2 linked regions of the Rhinolophus ferrumequinum genome follow. The protein of the gene in region 2 interacts with the protein of the main gene of each other region in a pairwise test. Links are inferred from orthologs where the notes say so. Each region holds a gene or a part of one and is shown on either strand. Other genes may lie near its edges. The genes, in order: SEPHS1 and ZBTB25.

What was found.
Region 1: the proteins of ZBTB25 (region 2) and SEPHS1 interact in binary tests that used the Homo sapiens proteins (3 or more experiments, as listed by UniProt). The two-hybrid records come from large-scale screens. The link is inferred for Rhinolophus ferrumequinum from reciprocal best matches to the Homo sapiens genes ZBTB25 and SEPHS1.

Annotation. Positions count from the first base shown.
Region 1 is NW_022680355.1:187,746-199,398, reverse strand, and holds the start of SEPHS1 (selenide, water dikinase 1), read left to right. Parts: upstream 1-6,529; 5' UTR 6,530-6,836; intron 6,837-7,409; exon of another isoform or gene 7,410-7,681; intron 7,682-7,725; exon of another isoform or gene 7,726-9,656; intron 9,657-9,662; 5' UTR 9,663-9,739; coding exon 9,740-9,932; intron 9,933-11,653. UniProt on the Homo sapiens protein: Synthesizes selenophosphate from selenide and ATP.
Region 2 is NC_046289.1:31,369,233-31,381,284, reverse strand, and holds the start of ZBTB25 (zinc finger and BTB domain-containing protein 25), read right to left. Parts: upstream 4,526-12,052; 5' UTR 4,406-4,525; intron 3,749-4,405; exon of another isoform or gene 3,571-3,748; intron 3,560-3,570; exon of another isoform or gene 3,465-3,559; intron 1-3,464. UniProt on the Homo sapiens protein: May be involved in transcriptional regulation.

The sequences.
Region 1 (11,653 bases), on a different chromosome or scaffold from region 2:
TGCTGAGTGCCTCCATATTTTGAGTGTGGACTTGGGAGACAGATGGGCTGGATTTAAATGCAAGTCCTCCACTTTCTTCTTTTGTGACCTTGGACAAGTTACTTACCCTCTCTGGGCCTTGGTTTCCTCATTTATAAAATGGGCATAGTGGTACCTACTTCCTAGGGTTGTTATGAGGATTAAATGAATTAATACAGGCAGAGCTCTTAGAATAGTGACTGTCCCGTAGCCAGCGATTTTACGTGCTGTTATTACTGAACATGTGGCCACGGTCTCCCCACCCCCACACGCAGAGCTTCCAGTCTTGTGAGGAAAGCAGAAACAAAACCACCACAATATAAGCCCCCAACTGAACACTTAACCACCAAAGCATCCAAACTTACCCCCTCCTCCCCCCCTTTAGGATCTTCTCCAATCAGAGACCGCTCCTCATTCTCACATCTTTAGTTTCTTCTGCTCTGATGGCTTACATACCTGCTCAAAGCTTTGCAGGTTCTAAAAATCCAACCCCTCCTCTTCTCCCTCAAGGAAATGTCCTGTCTTCTCCTCCTATAATACGCTTCTTAAAGGAAGTGTCTACACTCAGATCTCCACAACTTCAATTCCTACTCGCTCCTCAGCCCATTACTCCCTGTCTTCCTCCCCCCCCCTTGGCCCCAGCATGTGAGTGTCCCCACCAAGGCTACCAGGGACCTTTTCAGTCCAATCTGTTTTCAGTACTTGTTTCACCTTGCTTTTCTGTAGCACTTGACAATGTTGACTCTTCCTACCTTCTTGAAATTCTGTGTCCCCCAATTCCAGAATAGCCCTCTCCTGCCATTCCTACCACAGACCAGGGAATGCACTAAGCACTGGGAGGCAAAGCTACCTAAGACAGTCTCTACAAGGAGCTCATGGCTTTGGTGGGGCAGGCGAGAAGAGAAGTGGAGGAGCGACTAGGTGTACGGGATAACTGCAAATCAGCAGGATAGGTTCCACGGTGAGGACCAAAATGGGTTGGCAGGGCTGCGTTCCTTCTGCAGGTTCTAGGGGAGAGAATCCATTTCCTTGCCTTTTCCAGCTTCTAAAAGCTGTCCACGTTCTTTGGCTCATGGCCCCTGATCACTGACTCCTGCTTCCTTTGTCACATCGCTTCAGACTTGCCTCCCTTTTTGAATTCTAAGGATCCTGGTGATTACATCGGTCCACACCCCGTTATCCAGGACAATCTCCCCATTGAAACATCCTTAACTTAATCACGTCAGCAAAGTCCCTTTTGCCACGTAAGGTGACACTTTCACAGGTGGCGAGGATGTGGATGTATGCCTACCACACACGGGTGATTGTTCCTCTCGGAAAAGCCAGAGAACTCTGGAGAGAAGGCTCTTGGAATGGAATCTCACCGGCTTACTTATCATTTACCAGAAGTGGGGACGAGGTGATATAACGCTTCTGAGATGCTAAGTGGAGAAAGACAAGGTGAGCCTGCAGATCTATAAGCGGCTCAGGGTGGCTGTAAAATAGGATGAGGGCACCTTCTGGAGATTAGGGAGGAAAAGCAGAAGCTGGATCATGAAGGTTTTTTTTTTTTTGTTTTTTAAAACCACAATAAGGAGACTGAAATTTATGTACTTGACCAATGCTCTTACTTAGCCTGTGCTACTGTTTCCTTAAAATTTTCTTTGCGACAACACACTTTTTGTCCTAAAGAATAATGTCCACGAAATCACAGGTTTTACATGTTAGGTATTCTTTCCAATGTGTGCTGAAATGAACACACAACTGCAAAACTAAAAAAGTTCTTCCACGTACCCCCTAAAGGCATCTGTGCACACCTGTGAGTGAGTACGAGACTTAGAGAAACGGAGCCAGAGGTAATGGGAGCCCCACAAAGGCTGTATGTGGGAAAACAACATGGCCAGGTTTGCCTTTGATAAATATCATTCTGGCAGCAAGTGAGTATCACAATAAAAAGACCACAAATAGGATGCTTCCACTAGAGTCGAGATGAGTGATGAGAAAAATGAACCAAGACAGGAAGAGTGGCAGTGGAGGGGAGGGTCTGGGTATGAAGACCATGCAGGAGGGTAGATGTGATAATAGTTAAGACTGGAAAAAGAGAGGAGCTGGGGATAAGTGCCAGGTTCCAGCATGTGCCATGCAGCAGAGAACTGTCTGTGGGCCAAGAAATGAGGAATACATGGGGGGCTGGGTGGGGTTGGAAGAAAGATGATTATTTTGGTCTGGAATATGCTGAATTTGAAGTGTTTGTGGAACACTCAGGTAAGGGCTTGAATACCTGAGCCTGGGGCTTGGAGCGTCCTCTGGAGCAGTGTTGTCATGTAGAAATATACTCTGAGCCACCTAAGTCATTTTAAATGTTCCAGTGGCCACGGTAAGAAAAGCAAAAAGACACAGATGAAATTAATGATGTATTTTAAATAACCCAACATATCCAAAATATTATATTTCAAGATGAATCAATAGAAAAATTATTGCGATGTTTTACTTTCTTTTCCTTTTTCCTTTTCTTCTTCATCGTTGCCTTCATCTTCATCTTCTTCGTCTTCTTTGTCTTCATCTTCAAAATCCAGTGCATTTTTCCCACTGAGAGCACATGTCAGTTCAGAGCTTCTGGGCACTCGATAGCCACCTGTGGGGAGTGGCTACCATACTTACTGGACAGCAGGGCTCTAGAAGCCCCGTGTGACGTACAACACAGGATGAACATGAGGAGAAAGGCCAAGACAAACCTGATGAACATCAGTGATGGCGCAGGTGAGCAAAGGATAGTGAAGGAGGACGCATCAAAGGAAGTAGCCAAAGAAGTTAGCGGGAGAACGAGGGAAGAGCTAACATCAAGCCCAAAGAATTTCAAAAAGAAGGACTACTTTCATGGCCTCGTGTGCTGCAGGGAGGGCCCCTGGGGCAGGCAGTTGGGCTCCAGACTTAGCCCCATGTTAGATTCTGGCTTGACTGCCTCCAGCTGGGCACTGTGGCAGAGGCTGTTGACACCATGGAGGCCTGGCCCACCTCTGTGTCCACCTGAAGCTTCTGGGACAGTTTCTAGCCCACCTCAATCACCAGCATGCCCGGTCCTCAGGGCTGCTTCTGTAACCAGGAAGTCTGAGTCTCCCCTGGTCCAGTGAAAGGGACGGGGAGGGGCTCATCCCTTAGCCATGAAGGATGAAAATCAGTAGATAAACACCTTCGTGTCCCTGCCTGCCAATGCTACTATTTTAAGGGGGTATGTTCATTTTCTATTGCCGCTGTGACAAATTACCACAAACTAGTTTGAAACAACACACATTTATGATCTGACAGGTCTTTGGATCAGCTAAGATCAAGGTAGCAACAGAGTGCATTCCTTTCTGAAGGCTCTACAGGAAAATCTGTTGTTTCCTTACTTTTTCCAGCTTCCAGAAAGCTCCTGGACTCCTTGATTTGTGGCCCCTTCCTCCATCTTCATAGCCAACAAGGGCTGAACCTTTCTCATGCTGCCATCTCTCTGGTTCTGTTTGGATTCCACCTTCCACTATTGAGGACCTTTGCGATTCAATTGGGCCCATCCAGATAATCCAGGACAAGCTCCTTAAATTAAATGATTGGCAAACTTAGTTCCATCTGCAACCTGAATTCCTCTTTACCTTGTAACATAACATGTTCACAGGTTCCAGGCACTGGGATATAGACGTCTTGTGGGGAGGTGGGGGGTCGTGGCATTATTCTGCCTACAGAGTGGGTTCTGTACAGCATCTCAGAAAGGCACCAACTGGGGTGCATCCTGCTGCCCATGCTGGAAACCCACTCATTTACATTTTTTTTTTTTTTGCTTTCCCTTCCCTGTGTCATTTTGCCCACTTCCTGACTTGTACTTCCTGAGACCACCTCACAAATAAACTCCTTTCCCCCAAATCCTCATCTCAAGATCTGCCATGCAGGGACCCAAACTAAGACAGTGACCTTGGGTAAGTTAGTCAATTGGTCGGAGCCCTGGTTCCCTCCAGCATGAAAGGAAACATCCATAATCGCACCTACCTCCTGAGGCTGCTGGGAGATTTCTAAGATGATGTTCAGAAAACACTCTGTAAGTGGCGTGTGTAGTAAGTCCTCAAGAATAGTTCGCTGTTGTGGGCAGGGTGGCAACTGGAGTGCAGCAGGTGCTAGCCTTGTCCTCTCTCTGTGACTCTGGACCTGACCGTCAGAGAGGGTGGGGTGGCACAGGGTGGGACAGCTGGAAGGTTTTCTCTGAGGGCACCCGTTTTTTTTCTTGAGGTGTATCTGCTACTGAGGTCAATAAAGTGTGATGTAGACGCTGTAGAGAATAACGAACATTAGGAATACATACTTTAGGATTTTGGAGCTGCCAGAAAAGCCCAGTTGATATGAAGGCCGGTGGATGGGGGGGAGGACAGAGAGAAGCCTGCAGTTAGGTCAAAGGAAGGCAGGAAAGATCTGGTGGATTATCCGACCCCACGGTTGTAGAGACTGGCTCCAGGTGAATTGAGGTGTCCGTGGCTTAGTCTACAGCCTCTGCTCAGGAGAATTTGACTCACGTGTTTCGGAGCTGCTGGCTCCAACCACGTGAGCTGGCTGAGCCGGTTCTGAGATGGCTAGCCTCTAGCAGACTCGGCAGGGATCAGCCTCCTGCTCGTCCAGTCATTCCATTAGGGAGCACCGCGGGGATCTGTCCAAGGTCTCACACTTTTTCCCCCGGAACTTTCCCTCCTGGTTAATCTCACATTTGTCCGAGGCTTCAAACTCCATTTGCATGCTGATGGACCCACATTTGCATCTCAAACACAGAGCCCACCCCCACTCCAAGAACCAAACCTGGTTTTACCAATTGCCTCCAGCCCAGCCTATCTGACAGGCATCTGAAATTTAACATTTCAAAAGCTGAACTCACCCCAAAACGTGTGACTTCCAATAGTTCCTATTTCAATTGGTAGCATCACTACCCACACAGTCCCCCAAAACTTTATATCTGGGGGTCATCTTCTGCTTCTTTCTCCAACCACACACTAAATCCTCTCCCTCGTCTGCATTCCTGTTGCTTCAGTTCAAAAATTCTCGACTCTATGCTTGACTAATACAATTATCTTCTCACTAGACATGTGGCCCAGCCTTTTTACAAACTAAACTTGTAAAAAACAAATCTGATTGACTCTGCTGACCGGCATAAATACCCAAATCCTCAGCACGACACACACGTCTTCACATAGGGCCCTACTCAGCTCTCGTGTCACCTTCCCTCATTCCCAAACTTTTTCCTAGTCGTGACGTTTTTGTGAAAATCCAAACAAAACCAAAACACCACAAAACCAATATAAAAAGGGAGCGGGGTGAGGAGAATAAAGGTATCTGTATCTTCCTGCCCTGATACCGGAGGTCGGAAATGTTGCCTGGAGATTGCATGTATCTGAGCCTTCCCGGGTGATTCAGAGGCAAATCTAGGTTTGTCAACCACAGGGTTATGCCATTCGTACAAATATCCATCAAATCACATCAAAGAATCCAGGCTACTACGTTCATTTTTAACTTACTGTAGGGGTACAGAGAAAGGACACAAAAGAGAGAAGGAGCCTGCATCAGCCAGGTTTTCCAGGTTGCAACAATTCTGCATCTTCGCCTAGATGAAACCGCTGGGCGTTTCAAGCACAAATTTTAAGAATGAAAAGTGCATCTGCGTCGCCTGCAAACCTGACGCTCAACATAAAGCACCTTACGGCTACCCAAAACACCCCTGCCCCAAAATGCATTCGGAGAGTCCTGAACCGCTCTAGAAGTTTGGTCCTCCACACTCCTCGGTTTTAAGGGAAGGCCTAAGGGATGTGGTCTGAAACCACTATGCTTTTTTTTTTTTTTTAAAGCAGTGCATTAGAAAGTTGAAAACCTGAAAAACGTTAACTTTGCAAACTGAAGCTCTGCTATCACTTGCTAATTCAAACACAGACAGTATGAGGCTGCCATGTTTACTTGGACGTGTGAAGAGCGAACAATGTAACTGAGGAACATTAAACCCTGACTTCCTACCAAGCATATTATAAACGCTCAAGAAACATTGCAGGATGCTTGCATGTTCACGAAGGCTCATGTTAACTCCTGAGCCAGACTAAACAATAGAAGGGGAGAGGCGATGAAGTCATTATTCATAAAACGCGCCGTTTGTCATTTTAAATCTTTCATGTTAGTTGTGGTATCTTTTGCCCTGCTCCCACTTTTTCAAGTTGTTTCCATGGTCATTGTCTTCCAATACGACACGACAGGCGCGCGCGGGGAGCCGGTCCAGCATCCCGCAGAGCGTAGCGCGGCTGAGCCCGGCCGGGTTTTGGAAAACATTCCGGGCCCTTCCAGCCGGTCGAGGAAAAGTAGGTGGCCCGGGCGCCAAAGGCTGCTGCCAGTGCAGCTCGCAACTTTTGAAATCAATCCTTTTTGCATCATGCAACGGATGCCACCGCTGCACGGCTTTGCAACCCCCCACCCCTCCCCCGAGACCAATCATTGCCGCGCTCCGGCCTGCACAGCGCCCCCGCCCCCTTCCCGGGCCGCACACAGCCACCGAGCCGCTCCGGCCGCGGCCCGCCGCCTCTTAAAGGGAGGTGGCCGGCCCTTAAAGGCCCCTCGCCGCGGCGCACGGCGAAGCGCGGCGGCCCGCTTCCCCGCAGGGGCCCGCCGAGCCGGGCCGAGCCCCCGCGGCGCCCAGCGCGGCCCGGGCCCTCCCGCCCTCCGCGCCGCCGCCGCCGGGAGCGGCATTTTTATTCAGGCGACGCTTAAGGGAGCCCGGCGCGCCCGGTGCATTGTGGGAGCGGCGGCGGCCCGTTTTCGGGAGGAGGCGGAGGGCGCAAAGCGAACCGGTAAGCGCCCGGCTCGGGGAGGGGGGGCGCGACACCAGGCTTAAAGGGGAATATTCGTCCGCAGGCCCCGAGCGGCCGTGCAGATCCCCCTCCGGGCCGCCCGGGCCGCCGGGAGCTGTGCACGGCCGGCGCGCGCCAGCGCTGCCTGCAGAGGGGCCGAGCCAGGGCTTGGTGGGGCCGCTTTAAAAAAGAAGCACCGCCCGCGCCGCCGCCGCCGCCGCCGCGCGGGGCCGGGGAAGGAGGGAGGGAGAGAGGGCGGGGGAGGAGTGGAGGGGGAGGGCGGCGGCGGCGACGCAGGGGTTAATTTTTTCGCCCGCCGACATTTTTGTGCGGCTGCGGCCCGCGCGCGCGGCGGGAGAACCCAGGCGGGTCTCCCTGGCGCGGCGCCGGCGGGCCCTCCCCGCCCCCCGCGCGCGCCCTCCGGCCCGCGGTCGCCGCCGGAACCTGGGGGCACGGGCCCGGCCGGCCTCCGGGCCGGGTTCTCGTTGCGCTCGCGCTCGCCCCGCCGCGGCCGGTGGGCCGTGCGCGCCTGGCTCCTTCCCCGCCGCGTGGGCCGCGCGCGGTTCCCGCCGTCGCCGCTGCGGGGAGGACCGGCGGGCGGGCATGGCCCAGCCAGCGGCGCCGCGCTGCCTCCCCCGGCCGCGGCCAGCCCGCCGCGCTGCACAAAGAACCCAGGCTCGATTGGCCTGTGAAGGCGGCAGCCTGAGATTTAAGGTGTCCCCGAGTTCCGTGCCCCGCGCTCCGGCGGCCTCGACGTGTGCTTCATGGCAGGCGCCTGGCCGCTGCACCCACATCGCCGTGTCCCCCCCATTGTTGATGTCCTGGGCTTAGGGGCTAGGGGATAGGTAGGTATCGGGCCGCGGCTGCACCCTCTCCCACCCCCACTTACCGTGCTGCACCAGCCGTGCGGCCCGCTTTGCCATCTCGTCTAAAAATTTAAACGTGCCGGAGAAGGAAAGGGTTAACCGTTGTCTTTAAATATTCATGTCATTGTTTTAAAGGTGTAAACAGGCGGCTTTTGGGCTGTAGTTAACTGCCTTTTATTATGCACAAATACACGTTTATTTTCGCCCCCATTAATTGCTCATATTCCCAAGCACCCCCCCACCCCCGTCCTCATCTCCTCCCCAAAATGTAGGGATTTATTTTTCTTAATGGTCGGATATGAGTGTGTGATTCGTGTCCCTCGTTCCATTTGGAAAAAACTCCTGAGTGTTTTCTGGACTCTGCTGTTTTAAACTTTTTTCCCCTTAGAAATCCGGGAAGATATAAAGGATCTTTAAAAGGAAGTTGGTCCCCCCTATTCCAAATTCCTATCCCTGCTTTTTTTTTTTTTTTTTGGATAGGGATTGGAGGTAGGGAAATAACTGGATACCTCCTAAGTTGGATTTTTTTTCCCCCTGGTAGAAGTGAGGCGGTGCTAAATGTGAGGCGTTTTGAGAGGAAAGGACTGTTGTATTTTGTTTCAAACCCTTCCAAGTCAAAGCTGTTGGACTTTTCCTAACTCTAAAATGGCTTCAAAATTCCCGTCTTGGTTACTTGCTGGCTTTGCTCTCCTGCGGCCCTCTTAGGACAGGTTGTTTTCTTGGAATATTGGAAAGTTTACTCCTGCACAGTTGTAGCTTTCAAACCAAAATCATCGCTCACCCCAAACATGTTTTTGTAAGGATGGTTTGGATTACTGCCCAAAGTCCAGCTTTGTGAGATTTTTTTTTTTTTTTTTTAATGAGTGATGTCCTTCCCAGGAGATTGAGAACTCTATAAATGGGAATTATGTTCTTGATCATACATTTTATAAGGGAAACCGACCCTACAACTTGGGGTGTGTATAATTCAGTGCCAACCTGGAGGTTTGTAAACCCTTGGAGCACATACTGAGTTTTTGGTGTAGCCCCAAAAGTTTCAAATTCAGGAGTACTTGTTTCAGAAAGTTCCAGTGGTACCAAGTACCATAAATGCTAGTCATTTAGTACAGCTTAATTTATCATTTTAGTTCTGCAGTGAAATGGTAATGAGCAGTAGCATATTTTGTGAATGATGTGTGTGTACGAGTTTGTTGGGCGGGATGTTTGCTTTCTAGGAACTAGCACTGCATTAAAACAGCGGAGAACTTTTCCATCACTCTCTTGAATAACATGAACCTGGCTGTGTTACACAGCCATTCCAGTTTTCAAGTTCTTTTCTTTAGTAAGACTTCCTATTATGGGTCATGTTGTGTACTTCTGGCTCAGAGTAAAAACATATTTTCCTAAAATTGAATTTAGCATCATGAAGAATTTCATCAAATGCATTTCCATCAACATCCTTTTTCCACAAAGTATCCAGCAGGCATTTTATTTTTCTATGCGAGAGCGCAAAAGATATCAGAAAAGTTTTCTAGAAAAGTCACGTGAGCCAGAACGTTTAATTTCTAAATCATAGTGCTTCTGAGTTGACAGATGAAATGACTGGATGTTTTTTCCATAATGCTGCCCACTAGAATACCCTTTGGGACTTACTGTTCAAGATGGCACTGTATCCGCTGGCCCATAGTTCCGTCTTCAGAGGAGATCTTCCTTGCTGCCCCTCGGAGCCACAATTATAACACAGACATCAGATCTTCTGTAGAAAATGTCTGTGATGGCATAGTCACTTTTTAAAAATAACTTACTCTGGTGTATGCATCACTGGGACGGACTCCTGTGGCCCCAAATCACTGTCTCCCAGTGGTCTTGTTGATTTCAGCCCTTTTCACATTTACTTTCCATTTTCAGGTATTCATTTGATTCTTGGCAGGTACTGGTGAGAATTCTTCTAATGGTGTTTTTGTGTTTTGGTGATACCCAGGTGAATCTGTAAAGAAACCAGCTGACTAAGAGAGGGAGGGAGGAACCCAGCTGTGAGGTGTGTGTGCCCCGAGAACCATGTCTACACGGGAGTCCTTTAACCCGGAAAGTTATGAATTGGACAAGAGCTTCCGGCTAACCAGATTCACTGAACTGAAGGGCACTGGCTGCAAAGTGCCCCAAGATGTCCTGCAGAAATTGCTGGAATCCTTACAAGAGAACCACTTCCAAGAAGATGAGCAATTTCTGGGAGCAGTTATGCCAAGGCTTGGTATGTGAACCATTGTTTCTCTTACACTTCCCTGAGTAAAAGCATCTTGGCTGCAGTGTAGTCAATGAGTCAAAAACCTGATTTCTCTCCTCCCTGTTGCCTTTAAAAAAAAAAATTCTGTAAGAAGGAGTCAAAGAACAAAGCAATGGTAACTGTGACATTATTGTAACTATGTTATAGTATTGTAACTTATTTGGAGGAAGTACTTGAGATCAAGAAATGTGCTCAAACCATTTTTGTACTATTAAGTACAGGATTCAGACAATTATAGTAAAAGCATTTTTTATTAAATTGTATTTTCTGGTTAGCTAAGAATTAAGAAGAAACTCCTTTATGCCTTTATCTTAAAATTTTCCTTAAAATGCTTGCATTCTCTTCGTTGCCTTAGGAAAGGCGGTGCTTAAGCATCATTGTTCAGTGCATTGACAGCAGTGATTGGTTTGTGGGGGGGGGGGTGATTTGGGGTCCCAAGCTCCTGTGGTGAGGAGGGAGAAGAAAACTGCTTCAGACACAGAAGGGGAGAAGACTGAACTGAATCTGTACTTGACCCCAGGACGTCATCTGGAATTGAATTCCTGATGTCATTAGTAGTTTGCCTTTTCCCAAATATAGGATTTAGAAAGACATTCTAAGCTGTTGGGATATTGTGTGATTTCTTAAGTATGTGATGCAAGACTGTGATCACTTTGCTTTTTGAATGTTTGGCATGTGTTCTAGGAATCTGGATGTTTTATAGTCACAGTATGGCTGGATCAGCTTTCTTATGTAAGGTTTCTGTTTCATTTATTTTCACCCGTTATTTTCTTGTAAAGTTCTCTCTTACAACATTGGTTGTGAACCCAGGGTACTCCTTTCTTCACTTATGTATAAAGCAGGTAAAAGCTGAGTTGCTTTGTTTGGGAAAGAGGAAAGTTTGTCATCAGGATTCTAAGTGCAAACGTGTTCAAAGTGGGGAGAAGAGCTGCATCAGCTCTAACTCTTAGCCGTGGCAAAAAGGGACAGAAGTCGACAGCAAGAGTAGAGGCAGGAAACAGCGGATATAAGAACACAGAGGAAAATAAATCTGGTCACATATGGCTTTTGAGAAGTAAATGAAAGCTGTTGCCCTTTCCCAGAAAAATCCACAAAATTTTGCATTCAGGCATTCTCTGGGGGTAGCGATGGACCCCGGGTTACAAGCAAAAGGATGCGGACGGAAGCATAGTATTAAAGCCATGTACAGAAGTGGTGTACACACTAATGTTACTCTGTACATCTTCTGAACCCTCCTGAGCCTGTTTCCTGATCTGTACAATGGGACAATAATACTTCGTAAACTGCTATACCAGAAATTATCTAAGTATGTATATGCACCATGTGTATATGTACCCACATACATAATACATGTGTGTATGTATGTTTGTCTATACAGGTATTACACACAAATGTACTTACGTGTTTTTAAATTTTTTTCTAAGGGTCACATTTCCTGGATTCTAAGATGGTATTAATTGAAGAATGAATCATACGGTTGTTAATATACACATGCTTATTAAATGTATTCTAACTGAAGGAATGTTAACACCTGAAACTGGAAAAAAAAAAAAAGGAATGTTAAAATAAGTGTGCCTTAGAACCTGGTACGCCTATGGCCTGCTACTTCAGGGGTATCAAGTACTGGTCGTTGCTGGCAGTGGTGGTGGTATGAAGATTGGGGTTTTCTGGGTGGATGGTTTCAGTAT
Region 2 (12,052 bases):
TAAATAAAATCTGCAGTAATTCTAGGCATCTGCTTATGAAAATCACTGAGAATATTAGAGAAGAGGGTAAGAAGTAGATGTGGTAGATGATACAGGAAGAGCAGTTATGCTCTAGAAACCTTTAACGGAACAGGGAAACGTCAGTTTGGGGCCTCCTGCCTGTTGGCAGATATAGCCAGCCTGCTGCATCTCTAACCCTCATCTAACCAACATGTGGGATGCCTGATAAAGCCACAGTACCAGGCAAACAAGAATGCTAACACTGGTGAGTACAAATTGCTGGTGGACCTTAAAAAATCAGAACCCTGTGAAGGAAAGGAAAAAAATTCTTCTTAGTCTACTAAAAAAATAAAGATTGCATTTCTGAAAGAATAGGTACTAAAAGGAGGAGAAAGATGGAAAACAACAATACTAGCACAGACCTAGAATACAGTACAAACAAGAATGATCGTATAAGAATGAATACAGGTGATCCAATATTTCCTTTGCATGGAACATTCCACAACACATTATCCACATGAGCTAATGAAACCCTTTGCTTAAAGTGTCTAGAGTTTTTCAGAAGGAACAAAAAGTCATTGTCTATTGATTTATAACCAGGGAAGAAATTAGAAAAATTTCAAAAATAATTAACAACACTATAAACACCTTTTCTCCAGATAAGATTAAAAGAGAAAGAAAATCCTGCTGGCAAAGGGAAAGCAGAAGTGTTAAATTCAATTAATAATCCTGAAACTGATGTTTACTTCAAACACTTTGTTTCTTCCTTCTCCACTTTCCACAAGCAAGCTCAAGTAGCAATCTTTCCTATCCTAGAGGGAATAATACTGTTCCAGATATTATTGATAGCTGCTATTATAATGAGTAAATACTATATGCAAGGCCTTGTGCTACTTAAGTGCTTTATGTACATTATTTCTTTTCATCCTCACGGTGACTACATTTGTTCTTTTTATTTCCATTTTACAGATGAGGAAAAACCTAGCAATTAGTAAACTACAAATGGTATAAAGTGGTGGTCAAAAGCTAGGTCTGCCTCCATAGCTTATGCTGGTAACGCTAAACTAGAACAGTATTTTTCTTAGCATTCTTCTCTGACAAGACTGAAGTTCACATGCAATTTGGAATAAATAAGCAGAAAGGGGGCACAGGAAGTGGTATAGAAGTACTTTATAATTTATCAAGATAAGAGCACCGGTACTGCTTTTTTTAAAACAAGAAAAAAATACTGCAATAATATAAAATCCCCAACTCTTTTCTGGCCGTCATTACTAAAATGGACAAGTTTTTCTTTAACAAGATGGTCAAGCACCATCTTTGGACCATAGTAAATAAATCACTTTGGTTCAGTGGTGAGGAGGGCATTATGCAACACTTCCCAGCACAGCCCTCACCAGGATATTTTATGGCCAAGGCACTTGGGCCCCTCCTCCTCAGCTAGACAGCCTGACTCCTTCCCATTCCCCTCAGGAGATAGGGTGGAAGCACACAGCTCCACTTTCTAAGGCATAGAGGGCAGCTGAAAGTCCTGCTCAGCTTCTCTGGGCAACCACAGGCGCCAATAAATCAGCCACAGGCGATTCTCTCATCCCCTTCCTGGCTTGAAGTGGTGGTGAGATATAGTGCAAAAGAGCCAGACTGGACTTGGGAGATACCGTTTCCCTGAAAATAAGACCTAGCCGGACAATCAGCTCTGATGCGTCTTTTGGAGTAAAAATTAATATAAGACCTGCTCTCATATTATATTATACAGACCCAGTCTTATATTACAGTAAAATAAGACTGGGTCTTATATTAATTTTTGCTACAAACGATGCATTAGAGCTGACTGTCCAGCTAGGTCTTATTTTGGGGGAAACACGGTAAGTGGTCTAGGCTGAATTCTACTGCAAACGACTGCATTATTGAAGCCAACTAAATCTCTGAGCCTGTTTCCTTGTGTGTAATAACAGAGACAATACTACATCCTTTTTGGTAAATATTCAACACTCCTCTATGAAAATGGCTAGCCACTGCAGGTACTTAATAAAACAGTGACCAAACCTGAGCAGAATCCATCTCCACTACCTCCAAATAAGACATTCAGGGCAGGACTGGACAAAAAGGTGTAGCTAGTCACGTGAAGTCCCTCCCTCCTTTCTTGCTGACCACCCAGTGATGTTCCACTGCTTCCTGATAACCTCCTGGCCAGCAGTACTAATCAACTCCGTGTCCTATCCCATCATTGCTCTGTTCCCTAGTAAAGAGCTGATGTCTTTGTGATAATGGACTAATAATTTACTGTTAATTAAAACATATCCAGATTGCTAATGAGGACTTTGATGCCTTAACCTAAGGAAGCAACCAATGCTGCAAATATTGGTTATTCTTGCAGAGAATAGGCTGAATCGGAGGGGGAGGAGGGTTGAGCTCCAAAGTACATCAGAGGCAGTCTATTCCACCTAGAAATAGTGCCAACCCCATTTCTTAAAATACCAGAGCCATCACACACTGGCCAAGTCTGATTTCTCAACAATCTGGACCAAGCCAAGTAAAATCACCTCTGGGGGACAGTCTACAATGAGTGGGTTAAACTGGCACTGCACTCCTGGTGTGCTAGAATAAAACGACCAAGGCATCTGGAGCCCTGGAGTCCAATTACTCAAGAGGTGCAGGACCTCCATCAGCTACATGATCTTTAGGCTGGGTGTCCTCACGTGTAAAATAAGAGGGATGAACTGGATTTTCTATAAGGCCCCTTTCAGCTTTAAAAATCTATGATTACAAAGTGTACTTTACACACTTCACAAAACCTTGTGGGAATGAACAGCTTTGCCCAAAAGACTTTATTCTCAAGACAATGAATGCCAAATTTAATCCCTTGCGGTGAACCGGGCGTTCATTTATGAAACATGTTAGGGGCTGCCAAGTTCCAGGTACAGAGCTAGGCGCTGCCTAAGCAGCTAGAGAACAGCTTGATTTCTCTAAATGAGTGCTAGGGAAGGCAGTGATAGATGGCGCAAGCTTTAAAAACAAAAACTGGATATGCTTAGAATGAAATTAATCTGAAAAAAGAAATAAATGAATTATGGGATGGGCGGGATATTTCCTGCTCTAGCAACAAAGTAATCACAAATGGGAGGTGGGGAGGGAGAGGGAGGGCAGTGGTAGCAACGTCTCGCAGGCTGCACCTGGAGACCCGCCCACTTGCTAGGGATCCGGGCGGCCGCCCGGGGAACGCCGCACGCCAGTCGGGGCTTCCCGCGCGGGGTCGCAACCGGCTTTCTACAGGGAGGGCTCTATGCCTTTGCTGCGCCCCCGCGCGCGGACTCGCCTGCATCAAGTCCAGACAAACGCCTTATGCAGACAGCCTAAGGCGGCTCTGGGCATCCTCGACCCAGCATTCACTCGCAGTTGCCATTTTTCTCCTTGCCCTGACTGACAAGTCAAATGGACCAAAAACACCCCCCTCCCGAGCTACTTGCATCTGTCCGCGACCGGCGCAGCTGCAGGCCGCCGCCGCCCCACGCGGCTCGCGGCGGGAGGGACTGAGCTTGGAGCAGCCCACAGGGGCCGGGCCGCGTCGCTTACCCAGACGCCGCCGCGGCGGCCGGCCGGCTCCTCCGTGCGGGAGGGGCGGCTCCCGCGCCGCAAACGTCACGCGGCGGCGCCGGCTCACGCACCCCGCGGTCCGCTCTCGCGCGGCTTCCCGCGCCGGCCGTCCCGCGGTGGGCCCACGTGACCGCGCGCCTGGTAGCCGCTGAACGAGGGGCGCGGGGGCCGGAGTATGCGTGCATGCGTGCTTACGTGCGCGCCTGCCCTGGTGGCTAGGAGGGGGTCGGTTTGCGCTTGGGGCGCCTCCGCCACCGTTCCCAGTCGTGACTCTGTAGGCGGAAGCGTGGAGACGAACCTGAGCGTCACAGGCTCCACACACGTACACACACACACACACAAAACCGCGTGACCTGGGGACTTTCCCTGGTGTGTGCAAAAGCATGGGCACCTCCTCTGTTCGGGGATGGGGGTGGGGAAGGATGCGCCGCGTGTTCACGGGGAGAGGGGTGAGGGCGCAAGGCCAGGGAAGCTGAGCCGCGGGAGCCTGGGAGGGGAGGCTAGTTAGGTGGGGTGGGGCATGGCGGGGGAAGTGACTCAAGGCCGGAGGCCGACAGGCCCTTGGAAGGCGGGGTGGGGGAGCGCGGGGAATGGGCGACCCTGAACGGACTGGCCCCGCACGGGACAGGGTGAGAGTGCCGGCGCCCCCAGAACGCCGGGGACGTACCGCGAGGGAGGGCCCAGCTGCTGGGTCCTCCCGGGCAGGGGTCTGACATCTGGACGGAGTGGGAAAGCAGCATCCTGCCCTTGGGGAGTCGGGAGGAGCCCAGTCCCATCCAGCTGTGCAAACAGGAGGAGGAGGTCCCAAGCCTACCCTTGGGAGAGGAGCGAGAGGGGTGGTCAAGCCGCCGCCGCGCCGGCCCCCGCGGTGCGGGTTGCGCCAGCCTCCTCGGAGCCCGACGCAGAAACTTGTTGCAACAAACAGGCGACCGCGGGTGCCCCTAGCAGCCAGCGGCGGAGTGGGTGGGCGGGCGAGAGGGAGGGGAAGGCTGGCGGACGCCGCAGCGAACTGGTGGGCAGACCCGGAGTCGCCGCGTAAGCGGGGCCGGCTCAGTGCGGTGCGGCAGGCGCGGCTGTGCGGCAGCGGAAGTCCTTTGTTGCAGCACAGTCCCTGACAGAGCCAGAACCTCTCCGCGCAGCCCAGCCCGTGCGCCGCGCGTCGCCTCCACTGCAGTTCGCGGCCCCGTCGCCTCCGCCCGCCTTTCCCGTGTCCGATTTGCCTTAAACTCCCTAAAATCTCCGCAACCCTGGTTCCTGCTGCGGCCGGTGAGTATTTGCCAGTTGTGGGGCTATTTGCGCAACTTTGGCCCGCGCCGAAGGGCGGCGGGCCGCGCGGGCCTGGCGGAGTGCGGGGCCAGAGCGCCGCCGACCAGTGCGGGGAGCCGGAGCGCGGCGGACGCGCTGCGAGGACCCGGCGACGGGCGGCTGCTGGGCCCGCCTGCTCGATCCCGCCGCCCGCCGCCTCACAAGGTCCGGGACGTGCGGCCTCCCTGGGTCTGAGGCGAAGCTCCTGCGGAGACTAGTTCCCACATTAGTTACCGTCTTTTCCCTTTCTTTTTCTGCCCTTATTTTTTTGAGAGGGGGGGAAGGGAGAGGTGTAGACGGAAGGCGGGAGGACCCGGTTGATTGACGTGCCCAGAGCCCGCTTCTCTCAACTTACAGCTGCGGCTCCTCGGCGGGTGGGAGGGGAAGTGTCCCGGAGCCCGAGGCCGCAGACTTGGGCGCGCTCCGAGAGAGGAGGCGTAGGAGCCTTGCAGATTCTTGCCACGCTCCTTTCCCACCCCCTCTTGCCGGCACACACGCTTTTTGTTCAATTAAAAGTGGTAGGTCTCGGGTTTGGGAATTTTCAGGGGGAAAAGATCTTGTTTCCTGAGAAGAAAGTGCTTTTCGCTTCCAGTGGTGGTCGCTTTCCAGAAGTTCTGTTAGAGTTCCGTAAATGTGTTGGAGGTACTAGATCGGGAGTCGTTACCACTAAAGTATGTAGGCTTGAGTCTGAGCTCAGGCACCCTCCCATTCTACCTAAGCAACGCGTTACATGATCTGAAAGGTTGACATGACATTTTCCAGATTAGGAGCGTCAGGGAGATGTTGGTGAAAGTCCTTGATGTTTTCTGGGGACAGTGGGGGCATTTGTATATGTAATAATATTACTAAATCGAACTGCAGCGTGGTGGGTAGGCACAGATTCTCCACTAGCCTAAGTAGTTTTCCAAATAGTATGTATCACAGCAGGAAAACTATTCCAGGAACAATTTTCTCTTTGACACTCGAACCCAAGGAGTGGTCCCAGGCTTTTTTAGGAGACTTGGAATAGTTTCTTGAGCTGAAGTTCAAGGCATTCTGGAGCTTATTTGGTGACGGATGCAGTTCTCATGGTAAGTTCAAAGCAATCACCGTCTTTGAAACGGAGAAATGAGATTCTATGAAACTTTGTCAGTACAAATTAGATATGATGGAGAGAATTGGGATACAAAAAGATGAAGCTTGACTGAAGACTGGTCATCAGAACTTCAGAATTTTTCTTTTGAATCATTTGCTATATATCTGATAAAGTTTCAATAACTGGCTTTGGGAGCTAGATGGGGGTGGGACTTCCTCATCTTAAACAGAGAAAATTGAAGTATAATGGAGGTGAAATGATTTTCCAAAGATTAATAAAGACAATCTGCAGTAGAGCCTTCAGTTAACATATTCATTTTAAAAGCAGGTTTCTCCATTATGACCAAATACAGAATAACAGGTTGAGCAGTCTTTCCTGAAGCCTTTCTGTTCTTCCCATTCCAACATAGTAGCCAGTTTTGGGGAGGAGAGAGGGCCCATCACTGTTAAAGAAAAGAGAAACCATATTTAACAGGGCATAAACATAGTTTGAGCCACTTGCTCTTGACCTTGTGTTTTGATTTCGGTTTAACACTGCTAAGTTTTTGTACTTAGCACCATTTTCCGTCCTAATATGCAGGAGAAAAAAAGTGCCTGCTTTCAGGCCACTCCTCCAGCCAGGAAGAGTGTCAAGCATTTGCTATTAACCTTCTGGCCTAAAGAAGAGGAAACCATTTGGAATAAAAATGCAGAAAATTTTCCATAGATTTTTATTTTTAAGCTACAATCTGTTGTCTTTCAAAAAAAAAATGAGGTATGTTTGCAAAACATCTGCTTGAGAGGTCACTTTGGTCTCTACATAATGTTTTGTCCTGATATTTTCTTCTGGTGTTAATATCTCTTACAGTAAAATATTCAAATTACTTTGTTATTTATTCTTACATGAACCAAATTAAAAGTGAGTCATGTCTTTTTTCTCAAAATGGAAATACTTTATAAGATCCATGCTCTTTGTAAAAATTCAACCTATACTGAAGTACAGAAAATACTATAAAAATGAAAGTCATTCTGACTCCCACTCCCCAGAAATAATAACTGTTCACAGTAAATTCCTTGTTTAAAATGAGAGAAGGCAACATTTGATCATAACTGTGCTGCTGTGTCTGCCTCACCCTGCCTAGGAATGGCCTGTCAGATGATTCAGGGACTCCTGTTCTCTGTTCACTACTCAGGTTGGTGAAAATTGTCCAGGTAGAGTAAAAGGAAATATTTTGCATTGGGCTGATTTGAAATTCTATGATAAAGTAACACATGAAAGTTTAAATGTAACAGGGCTGCTATTTTAGGCCTTCCTTTAGGAAGTACTTAACTGTGCCTTGGTGTGCTAGTCCTAGTTTTCACACTTTTAATGTTAATGTTGATGTCCAGTTTATCATGGATTGATTTACACAGGCCAAACTCATTAAAACAAAACAATACCCTCACATTTGTAGAGAGTTTCATAATTTATAGTTGGGAAGGAGAAGGTACACTTACCATGAAGACCACTGCTAAGATATCTCTGTGCTGATGTGGGATGAGGGGTTCCTCTGAATCAATATCCAGAGGTAGCAGGCCACACATTGAGGAAAGAAGGGGATGAATGACTATGGTTTTTCAGATGTAGCACGGAAGGAGATGGTACATAATTAAGATAGATTTCTAAGTAATATTATGGCTTGTGTAGTAACTACAAGAGATCTTAGTGAAAGTGCAGAATCACTTATTAGCCTGGTGTGAGCTGTGAAGTAGTTGATGATGTTCTGAAAACAAAGCCCCCAAAAGAAGTGTAATCACAACATTGGTTATTTGCGGATGTTGGGGACATGCATGTTTTTTACACTACTCTGCTTTGAGTTTAAAGTCATTTTCAAAATAAAATTGGAAAATTAAAGACAGTTAAATCAACCGTATTTTCTGTTTGTTGCCTGTGTGAGATAACACATAATCCTTTTGAGATGAAGAGCTCCATTCCCACTTGAAATCTTTAGTATAAGGGGAGGGCTTGCTCTGATGGGCAGTGGGAGTCAGCAGATGGAAGAGATGGGGAAGGAGCCCGGCATTCTGCCTGCAATATGAGGCAATATGAGGATGGGGTGACTGGGAGGCTTAGAATGTTGCAAAGGGACACCACTAAATCATCATTGTCAGAAAGAGTGTTGTCTGGTTCATAAAAACTGAAACTTAGGGCTCTGAATCAAGATGAGCACTTATGTATCAACCACTGAACCTGTATCCTCATTCACAAAATAAGGATAAAAATACCTACCTCAGGATTGTGAGAATCAGTTGTATAATGCATAAGAAATTGCTTTGTAAATTTTTGGCCACTATATAAAAGTTGCCGTGATTGAAATAATGCAAAAAATTGATAAGCAAAATAAAACTTAACCGACTTCAACATTTATTCATTCAGAAACTGATCAGATATCAACCAAATATCAGGCAACTGTTAGAGGCTCACGGGACACAGTGATGACCAAGACAGTGCTCTGACCTCTAGCAGCTTACAGCAAAGCAGGGGGACAACGCACTTACAATCCCTGCTGGGAGTGTGGTGATAGATCCAGTGTCCCAGTTTGAATGATATATTATTTGTCACCCTATAGTTGTAGGTACGGGCTCTTTCGGAAGCACAGAAGAAGGTCAACTGCCTAGCCCTGGGATCAGAAAAAACTTCCGGAAGAAAGTGAGCTGGACCTTGAAAAGGGTCTAAGGAAATGTAATAGCATGTATGAAGGCATGAAGTCTTATGCTGTGTTAGGTGCTTTGGGATGAGGGATAATCTTAAATCTTAAATAGATTTAAGGCTTAGAAATGGAGTTAAGCTTCTTAGGATGAACATGCTTTTTATGACACTTGGTTTCATTTCATTGACTTTTAATTAGATAAAAGTATGAAGTTCTCAGGATTTTAGTTAGAATTAAACATAAAAAAAAAATCAGAGCTACAAAATTGGAAGCAATACAATTAAGAAATGTGTGGATCTGCTGAAAGAAAGGAACAGGGTAGTCCCTCCCATCATAGAGCTGCTTCACCAGTTACTCATTTAGCCACATTTACTGAATACATACTACGCTGCAGAGAAAGGAACAAGCCAAAGTCCTTGCCTCCAGGTTCCTCATGATCTAGAGGGGAGACCCACACATAGGAAATTACGGTAGCCAATTCTTACTTAGCACTTACTCCATGACAGTAATAAGTCTTAATGCTTGGAAGGATTACAGTCCTCATTCTCAGATGAGAGGATTGAGGCACAAATTGGTTAAGCAACCTACCCAGGGTCGCACCTAACAAGTGGCAGAGCCAGAATTTGAACCTAGGCAGTGTAGTCAGTTTGTGCTTTAACACCTACTTTATGTTGCTGTTCTGGTAATTAAAATACAGTGTAATAAGTGCAAAATAAGGAGATAATACACAGTGATATCAAAACCCAAAATAGTGGAAGAGGGAGGTGTTACAAGAAGGCTTTTTGGAGGAGGTGATAAACTGCTTATTAAATGATACGTGGGAGGTTCAGGTACAAGAACCAATGAGCATGACTAAAAATGGAGGTAAAATACATGAAGAAATGAGGGATTGGGGGGGAGGGGGAGGTACAAGCAGTTTTATGCTGCTTGAACATGAAGTTTGAAGCAGGAAGTAGCCAAACAAGACTAGATGGGTGGGCAGGAGGCCTTTGATGCCTTGCTAAGGAGTTTGTACTTTAGCCTGAGGATATGTGAAGGGAACAGCAGAGTTTAAGCAGGAGACAGATATGGTCTGATTTTTGTTCTTTATGAGTCGTCTGAGGGTGAAGGCTGGATTTGTTAAGGAGGGACTAGTTAAGGAGGCTCTTGTAGCAACTCATGAGTGATGATAGAGGCCTCAGGAGTGCAGGGGAAGTAGGGATGGAATAGAGGGGCAGATTTGAGAAATATTTAGTGAAAATATTGGCAAGACTTAATTATGAGGGGGGAGACCCAGGTGACTCCCAAGTAGCCTGGGTGATTGGTGCATGGCGGTGCCAACTAAGACAATACAGGTGGAGGAGCAGTTTTAGGTGGGTCCCAGACAAAGTCACAGAGTGAATACTTCTGGATAGATAGAAGTTCCACAAAATGAACTCTTAAGAATATGAATGCCACGTGCTTTTTAAAAAGGGACTTTCTGATGAAGCTGCTTTTTGCTGAGAAGCCTACTGTTCACACTGTGCCCTCTGGTGGTCAGAAAACGTCATGTTGCCTCCTTAGGATGAACAGATCAAAATGTAGACTGGTTGGATTAAATAATTTTCCTCCTCTACTCCTAGAGGGAGAAGAGTGTTCCAGAAGCCACTGTGTTCCTGTTGCTTTCTGTGTGGATAAATTCATTTCCTAGACCCATAATGCAGCTGAATTACAGAAACACCTCACTTATTCAGAAGTTTATTTGGTTGGCAAACTCAGCTATCCAGGTGCCCTTGCTGAAGCAAAAGACTTAGACTATTTGTTGCTTATCAACAATTCAAATAATTGAAACAAGTGCAGGAATTAAAATCTTATCTTACTCCTAGAACACTTCCCTAGGTCCTCACAGAAAATTATTTATGTAGATTGTCTCGATGAGTTTTTGTCTTCCTAACCCATAACAGATTGAAATGGTGGGCAGCAGGAGCTTAGCATACCTTTTAGAAGTGACAGCTGTTGGCTTGACAAGCAAGGAGACAGAAAAATACCGACCAACAAATCACAATCTTCAAAAGCATAACAGTCTCAGGCCATTTGGTAGGTGCAAACAACCTTTGGAAATTTGAACAGCTCTTACATTTCAGCAAAACATAATTGATGCAGAGGAGAAAGCAGCCAGCCAGGTGTGCTGTACTTAGGGGCTGCAGTTAGAATAGTAGGAAGAGCCCCAGACCAAGGTCCCACCTGTCAGCCTCTAAAATTAGATATGACCTTGAGCTTATCACTTAACCTCCTAGGGCGTCAGTTTGTTTTCTCATCTATAAGGCAGCGGGTTGAACTTGATCACTTTGTAAAATTGTATGAATTATGTTCATATTGATGACATTAATATTTAAGAAAAATTGTATTGTGCTTGGATTGAGAAGACTAAGAAATATTTGTCATCTCTAATTTGTACAAGAATCCTATGAGAAATGTGATTATCCGTATGTTATAGATGAGAAAAGCAGCAGGCTTACAGAGGTAAAGAAGTTTAGTGGTGTTCAGATCTATTGGTGTCTGCTTCCTAGGCTCTTATTTAGTACTTTCATTTAACAAGCATGCATTCAGTGCCAACCAGGGAACACAAAGGTCATCAGCCTCGTCCCTGTCCTTGAGAATTCATTTAGGCACTGCGGTACAATACCTCTGTTAGTGCTAATAATGTAAGTAATACTGTTAGGACTAACAGACAGCTACATTAGGGTTTTTAAAGATTTTAGAGTGTGAGCATAGGACTGAGCCCCCATTTGTAGCATTGTCTCTATGGGACTATACGTTTCAAGTTCCAAGTAATTATCTTAAAAATTAAGTTTTAGAATGTAACTTAATTATAATTTCAGAACTTCCTGTACTGAGTATCGAGCATACAGTCTAATAACCAGAATGCCTGCTCTAAAATGTGAATAAAATTTTCTAAACTTAATCATGTCTGTCATTTTAAGTGCCTTGAGGTAAAACCTTTTATCTTTAGGAGTCTGTATACAACTGGTTCTTCCTGGAAATTTCAAGGAGAAATCCCAAAGAATTTAATTAAGTTTAAATTTGGAAATTTGACTGTATACCCTGGAAAATGATATTCTAGGAAAGAATTTTTGCTGAGGTGACCTTATTTTTATAGGTGGCAAAATCATTAAGGCCATGATGTCAGCCTGAAGAGTCCTATTGCTTGTGTTCTAATCTCACCAAGTCGTCTGTAGCCTTAGGAAGGTTATATAACATCGTGTGCCTCTGTTTTCTAATCTGCAAAATTCGTCTTAAAATGCCTGCTTTGTAGGGTTTGTTATGAGTATTAGACAATAAAATGGTATACATATTTACATGCAGACATATGTGTATATATATAATACATATGATACACACACATTTACTTAGACTAGAACCTGGCACGTCTATGATAAGGCAAGTAAAACAAT